Linked DNA regions of Callithrix jacchus. The protein of the gene in region 3 interacts with the protein of the main gene of each other region in a pairwise test. Links are inferred from orthologs where the notes say so. Each region holds a gene or a part of one and is shown on either strand. Other genes may lie near its edges.

Region 1 (3,936 bases), on a different chromosome or scaffold from region 3:
GATCTTTTCTAGTGAGGCAGTTTTGTTCCTTCACATAGGGAGACCTCCCTGGAAAGCGAAGTCAAGCAGGTGGATCGCGAGGTTGGCCCCAGCGGGTCAGGAAAGCAACTGTCTGCTGAAAAGCCAACTCTGATCCTTAAGATTAACGAGTAGCGGAACCACCACGTTGGGAGTGCAGCCCCCTCTTTCCGCCTCACGGATTCAGCTTGGAAGTGCGGGGGTTTGTGGGGGGCGGTTAGGGAATGATAGCTGCCCCGTGGAGGATGCCCAGGGCTGGGTCACGAGCTGGCATGAGTCAGCCCTATTCTGTAAGTCCTAGTTATGAGGCTGCCGGTCTCGCGCCGTGCCCAGTCCCACTCAGCCTTCAATCTTCCGGCCGGGCCCCCGCTGGGCGCCCTTGAGGGAACCGCGCCACCGCAAGGGCGGCGCGGAGGCTGCAAGGGGCGCCCGGCCGGCTCGTGAACGTGGTGGAATCCAGACGGGGCGCACCGATCTCCCCTCCCGTCGCGGGACTCTCCCTGCCCCCGGGCTCTGGGCTGGGATTGGTGAGACGGATGACGGGGTGATCGGACGCCGCCAGCCACCGCGTCCCCAAGAGCCGGGGCCTCGGGCTCAGCTAAAGGCCCCAGAGTCACACAAGCGCCCCATAAACGTCTGCTGAGTGAACGAAGGCGCCCCATCTATCAGAGGACTGCTCGGCGATCCCACAGCATGTCCAGGTCGCACTCGGCCGGCTAAACCTCCCGGACGCGGGAGCAGACCCCCAGGATTGCGCCCCTGCCAGAAGGCTGTTTACTTAGGTTCCGCTAAGGAGGCGGGGTGGGGATGGCACAAGCCGATTGGTTATGCAAATTATGGAGCCAATTCCGGTCTATGGTCCAGGAGACTACAAGTTCCAGAATAAATCCTTCCTCCAGCATAGGGAGAGGTCGAGGTTTCCGGAGAGTTGCCTGCTGGGAATTGTAGTCTTCATCTTGTTTGTTACGCAGGCGGAACGGGGGAAGGGAGAGGGAGTAAACTATTACCACGTGACGCTCGGGTCAGGTGGTTGGGCCAGCCTCCGCGCTGGAGCTGTGATTGGCTGACTCTAATAACAAGACGCCACTAGGGGCGGGCCTAAGACGAGCGCAAGCGCACTGCCTTGTGAGTCTCGGGACCCCTGTCGGAGAGACTATGGCGCTCAACAAGAATCACTCGGAGGGCGGTGGAGTGATCGTCAACAACACCGAAAGGTGAAAACACTGCGGAAGGATCCTGGAGGACCAAAGTTCCGGTGTCGAGGAAGTGGGCGGCGGGCGGCGGGCGGCGGGGAATAAGCCCCTGAAGAGGGAGCGCTGATGGAGTGAGGTTGGAGGGGAACGGCTGGGGGCGGGGTTGAAGGAAGGTGGGTGGGCCGTGGGGGGAGGGCCGGGAGATTGCTGTCAGCTGGGAATTGGGGGTGGGACGACCGGTGGGGCCTAGGGTGATTCTTGAAACCCCTTCCCAGAGTTGTGAGTTTAGTAGCTGGGAGGATCCCCAAACAAAAATAATTGTCATTTATTGAACGTCTACAACGTTACTACGTGTCAGACTCTGCGCCTTTTCTACCTTGTTTAATAAAAATTCTGTGCGGTACAATCTACTACTGTCCACATTTCACAGGTAGGTAAAGTGGGGCACAGAAAGGTTAAGTAACTTGCCCGAAATCACAACTCTGTAAGTAACAGAGATGGCAATTCCAGGAAAGGAGTCTTGACTCCAAAGTTAATAGGATTAACTACCATCATACAGGCTTCCAGTATGTTCCAGAACCGATCAGGTTCCAGGTAAGAAACTGAGGCCCCAGAGGTGAAATTAAACAGGTGACGTTGATCAGATGTCTGACAGTTCCTGGCACTGTGTGGGTCCGTAAAGTCAGTCCCTTGCCTCTTCTCTTGAATGCCTGTTGGTTTGAGTCACCCCTGAAGGCAGAGGTCTCCTAATTCAAGGTTCTTTCTACTCCGCCCTCCCCACCCCTTGCTCATTGCATTCTGTCTCTCCTCCAACCTCTGGGCTCCTCAAATGGCTTCTCTCTCCTTTTGTTCCTTGAGTATTGAAAATCAGACCGTTCTGTGATTCCATGGATAGAAAAGGAAAAAAAAAAGTAAAGAAAATCAAACCAGCCTGGGTTGAACTATGCCAACCCTGAAATACCTCTTGAAGGAGCTTAGGAGGCATCTGCATCCCCAAAGGGGACATCAGAGCCCTGTACCCAGCTAAGGCCAGCATCCAGGTGCCCTGTGAGTTGGGAATGTTTGATGAGTCAGAGGAAAATGCCTAGAGTGACCCAGACCACAGGATGCTCACTTTCCGTCCATTTTACCTGCTCAGAGTGTGATGGGCGCAGCCTGTTTCTGGTAATTCCTTCTTTTCTCTGAGAGGTACTTCTCTTTTTTTTAATACCAGTGGTTTCCCACTTACCCTTCCCCTATCAGAGAAAGTTGTGATATGTGGGGGGAGGCAGAAGACAAACAGAACTGTGTGAATCTTTTTATCCTGTAATCAGAGACACCTCACATTGGCTTGTTGCATCTCTGTGTGAGTCAGTTCCCAGGCCCAGCCAGTTTTTCATACCATTTGGCAACATCTCTAGGGACTGTTGTTCTTTCTGTCTCTGTGGAACTTTCTGAGACAAGACTATCCATCTTGCTGGGCCTTCTACCTGGCTTAGAGCTCAGTCTTGCTAAATAAGGCGTGCCTTGTTTTAGAAAGTGCTTCAGCCTCCTGTCTGAATAAGTTGTATCTATAACAATTGAAGTTTAAATCCAGCATTCAAATTTTGATAATTAGGCCCAGCATGGTGGCTCACACCTGTAATCCCATCACTTTGGGAGGCCAAGACAGGTGGATCACCTGAGGTCAGGAGTTTAAGACCAGCATGACCAACATGGTGAAACCCTGTTTCTATTAAATACAAAAAAGTTGGCCAGGCATGGTGCTGCATGCCTGTAATCCCAGCTACTTGGGAGGTGGAGGCAGGAAGATCTCTTGAACCCAGGAGGTGGAGGTTGCAGTGAGCTGAGATCGTGCCACTGCACTCCAGCCTGGGCGACAAGAGTGAAACTCCATCTCAAAATTAAAAAATTGATAAATAGTGAACTTTATTCTTCAAGTCGTGAACTCCTTTGAGAATGATGAAAACTGAACTCTCCTCCCAGAAAATGCACATGTGACGTACACGATCATCTCAAGGGCTTCATGGACAGACTTTCCGGCAGAACCAGCTAAAAACCCAGGTTTAAATGAACCCTGAAGGTGGTCCTATTGTGATGTGTACAGTTATCTCTTAGACGTGTTTATATATTAGGCTTGAAAAGCAAGCCAATAAAAACAACATCCATCACAAGGACTTAAAAGAAAATAGAAGAGTTAAGCCAGCTCTTCTAACCTGCTTAGGGGATGATGGCCTCTCCAGAGCCCTGCGGCTCTGCTACAATGGTGATCGTTTGGGGCTGTGCAAGCAGGCTTTGGGAAATTTTATAGAACCCCAACCTGCTCATTTCTTCCATGGCTAGAGTAATGGGTTTTTTTGTTTGTTTGTTTTTAGTTTTTGTTTTTTTGTAGAGATGGGGTCTCACCATGTTAGCCAGTCTGGCCTCAAACTCCTGGGCTCAGGCGATCCACCCGCCTCAGGTTCCTGAAGTGCTGGGATTACAGGTGTGAGCCCCTGTGCCTGGCCCTGTGATTGGTTTTAATGCAGCACTGTTGAGATGGTTACGAGAGCTGATGTGCTGGACAGCTGCTTGGGAGAAAGGCCCAGTGTCTGGGTGATACCACATCTCCATACTGTCTGACCAAGGCTTTTCCTCTTTTCTCACCACAGCATCCTGATGTCCTATGATCATGTGGAACTCACATTCAATGACATGAAGAACGTGCCAGAAGCCTTCAAAGGGACCAAGAAAGGCACCGTCTACC
Region 2 (3,990 bases), on a different chromosome or scaffold from region 3:
CCTCCTAACAAGCTGTCAGGGAGACCTCACCATCCCCTGTTCCCAAACCCAAGAGGGTTGTTGAGAAGTCCAGGTGATGTACCCCATGCCACGCCACCCTTGTGTCAAGACCCTGGGGTCAGCTGACAACAGAACCAGCCTTGCCCTGGCCACGTGACTCCATGCCAGGCTCAGGGCTGTGCAAGTACAAAGAGCTCAGGTAATCACGGCCCTGCCCTGTGGAGCCCTCTGCCAAGGAGGATTCCGTAATCCTCTGAGCACAGTGACCTGGCAGAGCAGCCCTCTCTCCCAGCTGCTCGGATGCGTCTGTCTCGCCCATCTCCTCAGGCCCCTCCCGTGAATTCAGGCGCTGTCACTTTCCATGCTATAGATCTGTAAAAACTTCCAGGAGACCAGGCTCTCAGTTCAAGCCCTATACTCCTCTGGCTCTGCTCAGATTCCCGGGAAGCCCTCCCTCCTCCTCTGGAGGCTTCCGGAACCTGCTTCGTGCCCACCCCTGCCTATCCCGTCCTCCCGCAGCTGAGCAGATTGGGTGGAAGAGATGACTCATGAAGACCCACCCTGGCCCCATCCCATATCTAGGTCTTTCCAACAAAACAGCATTTCCCAGGGTGCCTCACCCCAACCGGCTGTGGGCCCTGCTCCCCCGGGCAGTCACAGGGACCCTTCTGGAACCTCATTCAGGGAACGTCAGCGTCACTCCACTGCATAATGTCCTCCCACTGCAAAATCCTAAGGCCTCCCTCGGCCCAGAGAGCCCTTCCTGGCCTGGCCCCATCTCTCCTGGGCTCCCTGTCGTTCTTCCCACACCCCAACTGCTCCCCGTTGTACGGCCCTGCACTGTCTGCGCCTTCTGCCCAGAATGTTCTCCTGGGGGGTGGGAGGAGGTCAGGGGATCTGGAAAGGGCTAGGGCTACCACAGGGAGAGAAGGAGGGGGCTGATTTCCTCACAGCTGAAGTCTCGCTGTCCTGGCAGAGGTCTTCCCGGACCACCTGGCGGTCCCTGCTCACCCTATTTCGAGGCCCTGGGCACTGCCTGAGCTCTCATCCCAGGCTTGTTGGTTTATTTACCAATCGGCTCCCACTAGGTGGTGAGCCCTGGGAAAGCAGCCGCCTTGTCCTGTCCGCCACTGCAGCCCAAAACAGGACTTGGTGCCCACCCGCCCCACACACCCTGGAGTATCACTCCAAAAGGGACCTCTGCACGCCTTTCCTTTCCTTCCCGTCCCTTCCCGCCCGCCCCTCCGCTCCAATCTTCCCCCCTATGCCTGGGCTCTGGGCTGATCCAGCCATCGCCCTCACACCCTGGATCCTTCCTGTCACGCCCAGTCCCAGTGGCTCTAGTACCCCGTTCACCCACTATTGGTTGAATCAATGAAGGGCTCCCCCCATTTGCCCACCTCTCTCCCTGACCCCTCTGTCCCTGACCCCTCTCCCTCCTTTGCTTTCCTGCTCAGCCTCTCCCCCAGGAACCCCAACGTCCTCACTATGGCCCTCCCTCCATCACCACCCCACTGCCCGTGATTCCCTGACCCGCACTTCCTGCCACCTCCCTGCATCTCCTCCTACCCCTTCCCAGCCCCACCTCTTCACAATCCCTTCCATTATTGCTTATAGACCCCTGCCCTGGCAGCCTGGCTGACCTCCTTCCCCTTCACTCTCCGTCGGTCCCCACCACTCCCTGGCCAGCCAGCTCCCTGCAGCGGCCCCAGCTCTCCAGGTTCCCTATTCTCAACCCAGCAGCCCTCAGCCTCACACTGTCCCCGGTTCCACCTCTTCCCCTACCTTCCATGTGCCATCCCAGCTGGCTTAGCCCTGCCCAGGCCCTTCTCTCGAAGTCTTCCCTAGACAATCCAGAAGTAGGCCTGGCAGCTACCTCCTTTCCCTCCCCTCCCACCACCATCTGTCAGTCCTTCACCTCCAGTCTCCTCGCACACCGTTCTCAGCCCTTCACTCCCAATTCGCAGGGACCTCCCAGGTCACTGACGACTCTGCCCACCACCACTTCCCTGGCCTTCCAGACTTCCTAGTCTGTCGTCAACCTCCCACGTGCTCCAGATCCCAAGCCCACATCCCCTCTTCCCATGGATGCCCCACAGTGTGTGTCCTCCTCCACGCTCAGCTCCCATCCCTGGTCACCCAAATTCCCCCAAATCATCCGGGCCGCTTCAGAACCAGCCGGGTCCCCAGACCTCTCCCTCACCACCCGCCTCCGGACTCATCATCCCTTTTTTCCCCCAGGGTCGCTCCACTGACTCCCAACTTGCTGCAGCCCCGTCGCCCTAGACCCCCGCCACAGCCTCCGAGGCCCGACCACTGACAACTACCCTCCTGGCCCCTTCCCCCGCCTCTTCCCGACCCGCCCCCGGGTCCCTCCCACACGCCCTCCTGCCCCGCCCCCAGGCCGCTCTCCGCTCTCCCCTCCCCCTGACGCCCACGACGCCCACCTAGGCCCCACTTGCCCCGCCCCCGGCACCTCTCCCGTTTCCCTCATTCGCCGCCGCCGCTTTCAGCCCCTCGCCCTCCGATCTCCCGCGCACCTCGAGGCCCCAGACCTCTCTCCCCGGCCGTCCCCGCCCCTCAGGGCCTCAAGCCCCAGCGATCCTCACGCACCCCACGGAGTCCGTGAGCTTCTGACCGGGTCCCGCGCTCTTGAACTTGATGTCGGCCTTGAACTCCTGAAAGAATTTCTTCATGGTGGCGGCTGGCCCGGCGGCTGGGGGCCGCAGGGGCGGGGGGCACGGGGCCCAGTCGGGGAGGGGCCGCCCAGGACCAACCACCGGAAAAAAAATACCGGGCCGCCGGAAGTCCCGCCTCTCCGACACCAGCCACGTGACAATCAGCCCGGCGTGCCGCTCTACGGCTCGGTGCCTCGCGGCCCAGGGCGGACGCTCTGTACGCCGGAGCCGCGTCTCTGTGGTTCTGCCGGACTACGTTGCCAGGGCGACGAGCGCGCTTCTAGATTGGCTACAGTGCCTTGCCTGGCGCCTTCCGTGGGGCTCCATAAACGGTGACAAACGTTGATGGGAGAGGGACAGGCCGACTGAACCTCGCAGAGAAAGTACTGGGCCCTGACCTGTTCGCTGCTCAACCTAAGCTGGGCGCGGTGGCTCACGCCTGCAATCCCAGCACTTTCGGGGAATCGGGTGGGAGGATTGCTTGACTGAAGTTGGAGACCACCCTGGGCAACATGGCAAAACCATGTTTTCCATAAATTTTTTTTTTTTTTTAATTGTTGCCGGGCGCGATGGCTCACGCCTGTAATTCCAGCATTTTGGGAGGCCGAGGCGAGTGGATCACCTGAGGTAGGGAGCTCGAGACCAGCCTGACCAACACGGAGAAACCCCGTCTCTACCAAAAATACAAAATTAGCCGGGCGTGGTGGCACATGCCTGTAATCCCAGCTACTTGGGAGGATGAAGCGAGGAGAATCGCTTGAACCCGGAAGTTGGAGGCTGTGGTGAGCTGAGATCAAGCCATCGCACTCCAGCCTGGGCAACAAAAGCAAAACTTGGTGTCAAAAAAATAATAAATAAATAAATTAGGTGAGAGTTGTGGCCCGTGCCTGTATAGTCTCAGCTACTTGGAAGGCTGAGGCGGGAGGATTGCTTGAACCCAGGAGGTCCAGGCTGTAGTCAGCTGTGATGAAGCCATTGCATTCCAGCTTGGGCCACTGAGAGAGATTTTGCCCAAAACAAAACAAACACAAAACTAACCTTCCCTGTCTGCTCAGAGCTTACGTGATAAAGTCCCAATTCAATGTGGGGCATTGGAGGCCCCCACGATCTGGCCCTGTTTTGGTCCCTGACCGCCCCCCGCCCCACCCCAGCCCATGCACCTTATCTAGGAGCTGTTGAATACAATGCACTTGACTGGGACCTGGGGATCCACTTTGTCGGGCAAGACAGAGAGAAACCAGTTAATAGTGGCATCTTTGGGCTGTGCATTCTGCAAAGAAAGATAAAGTGACAGTTAAGCCTCAAAAAAAGG
Region 3 (3,995 bases):
AGGAATCGTACGGGACAATTTGGGGTCATCAATCTGGGGTAAGGACCTCCTGAGTCCTCCCTCAGCATCTCACCTTGCCTCCTAACAGAACTTTGCCAGCTTCTCTCTGCCAATCTCAAGCTGCTGGTCATACCAAGAACCGCGCTTCTCTCTAACACCCCCGCTCCGTGTGCAAGCCCGTAGCATCACATCCGGGCACTTGGGTGTGACGGGGTGAAACTGGATGCTGCGTGGATGGGCGTCTGTGTTGGGTTGGGGAATTGGAATTATGAGGTTGGTAGGGGCTGAAGAGAATATGGGTACTGGTGGGGAATGGGAGGGTGGATGGGAATAAGAATGGGCTGTGGATGCGGTTGGAAATGGGGGAGGCTCAACCCTCTCCTGGGATCCCCACGTTAATTCCTGGCAGAGCCTACCCCCACCGGTCTTGCATTGACCAACCCAAACACTGACTCCCGAGTCCCCTGTGGGTTAAACGGCAGTGGGGTTGGTGCCCCTCCCCACTCAGAAGTCCACCCACAGGTAGCCCAGAGCTGGCAGAGGGAGTGCTAATGGATTATTTGGGGTCGTCTATCTGGAACGGGAACCTCTTGCGTCCCTCCCTCAGCGTCTCACCTTGCCTCCTAACAGAGCCTTGCCCGCTTCCCTCCCCCAATCCCAAGCTGCTGGTGAGACCAAGAACCGCGCTTCTCTCTAACCCGCCCCCCACGCGCAAGTCAGTGACGTCACATCCGGGCACCTGGGTGTGACTGGGTGGAACCGGATGCTGCGTGGTTGGGGGTGGGGGATTGGGATTATGAGGTTGGTAGGGGCTGGAGAGGATAAGGGTACTGGTGCGGGATGGGAAGGTGGATAGGAATAAGAATGGGTTGGGGGATGGGGACGGATGTGGGACTCTGAGCTCTCTCCTCGGATCCCCACGTTGATTCCTGGCAAAGACTACCCCCACCAGTCTTGCATTTACCATGCCAAGCTCTTTGAGTCCCGAGTCCCCTGTGGCTTCAATGGGGGTGGTGCCCCTCCCCCACTCAGAAGTCCACCCACGGTGGCCCAGAGCTGGCAGCAATAGTGCTAATGTATTACTTGGGGTCCTCTATCTGGGGAGGGGACCTCCTGCTTCCTCCCTCAGCGTCTCAACTTACCTCCTAACAGAGCCTTGCCCGCTTCCCTCCGTCAATCCCGAGCTGCTGGTCTGACCTAGAACCGCGCTTCTCTCTAACCCGCCCCCCACGCGCAAGTCAGTGGCGTCACATCCGGGCACCTGGGTGTGACTGGCTGGAACCGGATGCTGCGTGGTTGGGGGTGGGGGAATGGGATTATGACGTTGGTAGGGGCTGGAGAGAATGGGGGTACTGGTGCGGGATGGGAGAGTGGATGGGAATAAGAATGGGTTGGGGAATGGGGACAGAATGGGGGACTCGGAGCCCTCTCCTAAGATCCTGAAGTTAATTCCTGGCCGAGCCTACCCCCACCAGTCTTGCATTGACCACGCCAAACCCTTTGAGTCCCGAGTCCCCTGTGGCTTAAACGGCACTCTGACTGGTCCCCTCCCCCACGCAGAAGTCCACCCACGGGTGGCCCAGGGCAGCCAGCAGGAGTGGTAAGGGATTATTTGGGGTCCTCTATCTAAGGTGGGGAGCTACTGAGTCCTCCCTCAGCGTCTCGCCTTGCTTCTTAACAGAGCCTTACCCGCTTCTCTCCGTCAACCCCGAGCTGCTGGTCGGACCAAGAACCACGCTTCTCTCTAATCCACCCCCCATGCGCAAGTCAGTGGCGTCACATCCGGGCACCTGGGTGGAACCGGATGCTGCGTGGTTGGGGGTGGGGGAATGGGATTATGAGGTTAGTAGGGGCTGGAGAGAATGGGGGTACTGGTGCGGGATGGGAGGGTGGATGGGAATAAGAATGGGTTGGGGAATGGGGACAGAATGGGGGACTCGGAGCCCTCTCCTAAGATCCTGAAGTTAATTCCTGGCCGAGCCTACCCCCACCAGTCTTGCATTGACCAAGCCAAACCCTTTGAGTCCCGAGTCCCCTGTGGCTTAAACGGCACTCTGACTGGTCCCCTCCCCCACGCAGAAGTCCACCCACGGGTGGCCCAGGGCAGCCAGCAGGAGTGGTAAGGGATTATTTGGGGTCCTCTATCTAAGGTGGGGAGCTACTGAGTCCTCCCTCAGCGTCTCGCCTTGCTTCTTAACAGAGCCTTACCCGCTTCTCTCCGTCAACCCCGAGCTGCTGGTCGGACCAAGAACCACGCTTCTCTCTAATCCACCCCCCATGCGCAAGTCAGTGGCGTCACATCCGGGCACCTGGGTGGAACCGGATGCTGCGTGGTTGGGGGTGGGGGAATGGGATTATGAGGTTAGTAGGGGCTGGAGAGAATGGGGGTACTGGTGCGGGATGGGAGGGTGGATGGGAATAAGAATGGGTTGGGGAATGGGGACAGAATGGGGGACTCGGAGCCCTCTCCTAAGATCCTGAAGTTAATTCCTGGCCGAGCCTACCCCCACCAGTCTTGCATTGACCAAGCCAAACCCTTTGAGTCCCGAGTCCCCTGTGGCTTAAACGGCACTCTGACTGGTCCCCTCCCCCACGCAGAAGTCCACCCACGGGTGGCCCAGGGCAGCCAGCAGGAGTGGTAAGGGATTATTTGGGGTCCTCTATCTAAGGTGGGGAGCTACTGAGTCCTCCCTCAGCGTCTCGCCTTGCTTCTTAACAGAGCCTTACCTGCTTCTCTCCGTCAACCCCGAGCTGCTGGTCGGACCAAGAACCACGCTTCTCTCTAATCCACCCCCCATGCGCAAGTCAGTGGCGTCACATCCGGGCACCTGGGTGGAACCGGATGCTGCGTGGTTGGGGGTGGGAGAAATGGGATTATGAGGTTAGTAGGGGCTGGAGAGAATGGGGGTACTGGTGCGGGATGGGAGGGTGGATGGGAATAAGAATGGGTTGGGGAATGGGGACAGAATGGGGGACTCGGAGCCCTCTCCTAAGATCCTGAAGTTAATTCCTGGCCGAGCCTACCCCCACCAGTCTTGCATTGACCACGCCAAACCCTTTGAGTCCCGAGTCCCCTGTGGCTTAAACGGCACTCTGACTGGTCCCCTCCCCCACACAGAAGTCCACCCACGGGTGGCCCAGGGCAGCCAGCAGGAGTGGTAAGGGATTATTTGGGGTCCTCTATCTAAGGTGGGGAGCTACTGAGTCCTCCCTCAGCGTCTCGCCTTGCTTCCTAACAGCGCCTTGCCCGCTTCTCTCCGTCAACCCCGAGCTGCTGGTCGGACCAAGAACCACGCTTCTCTCTAATCCACCCTCCATGCGCAAGTCAGTGGCGTCACATCCGGGCACCTGGGTGGAACCGGATGCTGCGTGGTTGCGGGTGGGGGAATGGGATTATGACGTTGGTAGGGGCTGGAGAGAATGGGGTTACTGGTGCGGGATGGGAGGGTGGATGGGAATAAAAATGGGTTGGGGAATGGAGACGGAATGGGGGACTCAGAGCCCTCTCCTGGGATCCTGCAGTTAATTCATGGCAGAGCCTATCCCCACCAATCTTGCACTGACTACGCCAAGCCCTTTGAGTCCCGAGACCCCTGTGACTCCAACCACAGTGGCCGTGGTGCCCATCCCCCACTCAGAAGTCCAGCCACGGGTGGCCCAGAGCTGGCAGCAGAGTTGTAATGGATTATTTGGCGTCATCTATCTCGCGTGGGGAGCTCCTGAGTCCTCCCTCAGCGTCTCAGCATTCCTCCTAACAGTGCCTTGCCCGCTTGCCTCCCCCAATCCCGAGCTGCTGGTCAGACCAAGAACCGCGCTTCTCTCTAACCCGCCGCCCATGCGCAAGTCAGTGGCGTCACATCTGGGCGTGACTGGGTGGAACCGGATCCGGCGTGGTTGGGGGTGGGGGTATTGGGGTGGCGGAATGGGTTTATGAGGTTGGTAGGAGCTTGAGAGAATGGGGGTATTGGTGCGGGATGGGAGGGTGGATGGGAATA

What was found. The genes of interacting proteins can lie anywhere in the genome.
Region 1: the proteins of MAGEA4 (region 3) and WBP2 interact in a two-hybrid assay, tested with the Homo sapiens proteins (2 studies listed by BioGRID). The two-hybrid records come from large-scale screens. The link is inferred for Callithrix jacchus from reciprocal best matches to the Homo sapiens genes MAGEA4 and WBP2.
Region 2: the proteins of MAGEA4 (region 3) and UBXN6 interact in binary tests that used the Homo sapiens proteins (3 or more experiments, as listed by UniProt). The two-hybrid records come from large-scale screens. The link is inferred for Callithrix jacchus from reciprocal best matches to the Homo sapiens genes MAGEA4 and UBXN6.

What each region holds. Positions count from the first base shown.
Region 1 is NC_133506.1:131,750,800-131,754,735, reverse strand, and holds the start of WBP2 (WW domain-binding protein 2), read left to right. Parts: upstream 1-1,133; 5' UTR 1,134-1,173; coding exon 1,174-1,232; exon of another isoform or gene 1,233-1,347; intron 1,348-3,841; coding exon 3,842-3,936. UniProt on the Homo sapiens protein: Acts as a transcriptional coactivator of estrogen and progesterone receptors (ESR1 and PGR) upon hormone activation. In presence of estrogen, binds to ESR1-responsive promoters. Synergizes with YAP1 to enhance PGR activity.
Region 2 is NC_133523.1:4,202,914-4,206,903, forward strand, and holds the start of UBXN6 (UBX domain-containing protein 6), read right to left. Parts: upstream 2,804-3,990; 5' UTR 2,697-2,803; coding exon 2,614-2,696; intron 2,148-2,613; exon of another isoform or gene 1,800-2,147; coding exon of another isoform or gene 1,786-1,799; intron 1-1,785. UniProt on the Homo sapiens protein: May negatively regulate the ATPase activity of VCP, an ATP-driven segregase that associates with different cofactors to control a wide variety of cellular processes.
Region 3 is NC_133524.1:148,211,911-148,215,905, reverse strand, and holds the start of MAGEA4 (melanoma-associated antigen 4), read right to left. Parts: upstream 2,808-3,995; 5' UTR 1,761-2,807; coding exon 1,690-1,760; exon of another isoform or gene 74-1,689; intron 1-73. UniProt on the Homo sapiens protein: Regulates cell proliferation through the inhibition of cell cycle arrest at the G1 phase. Also negatively regulates p53-mediated apoptosis.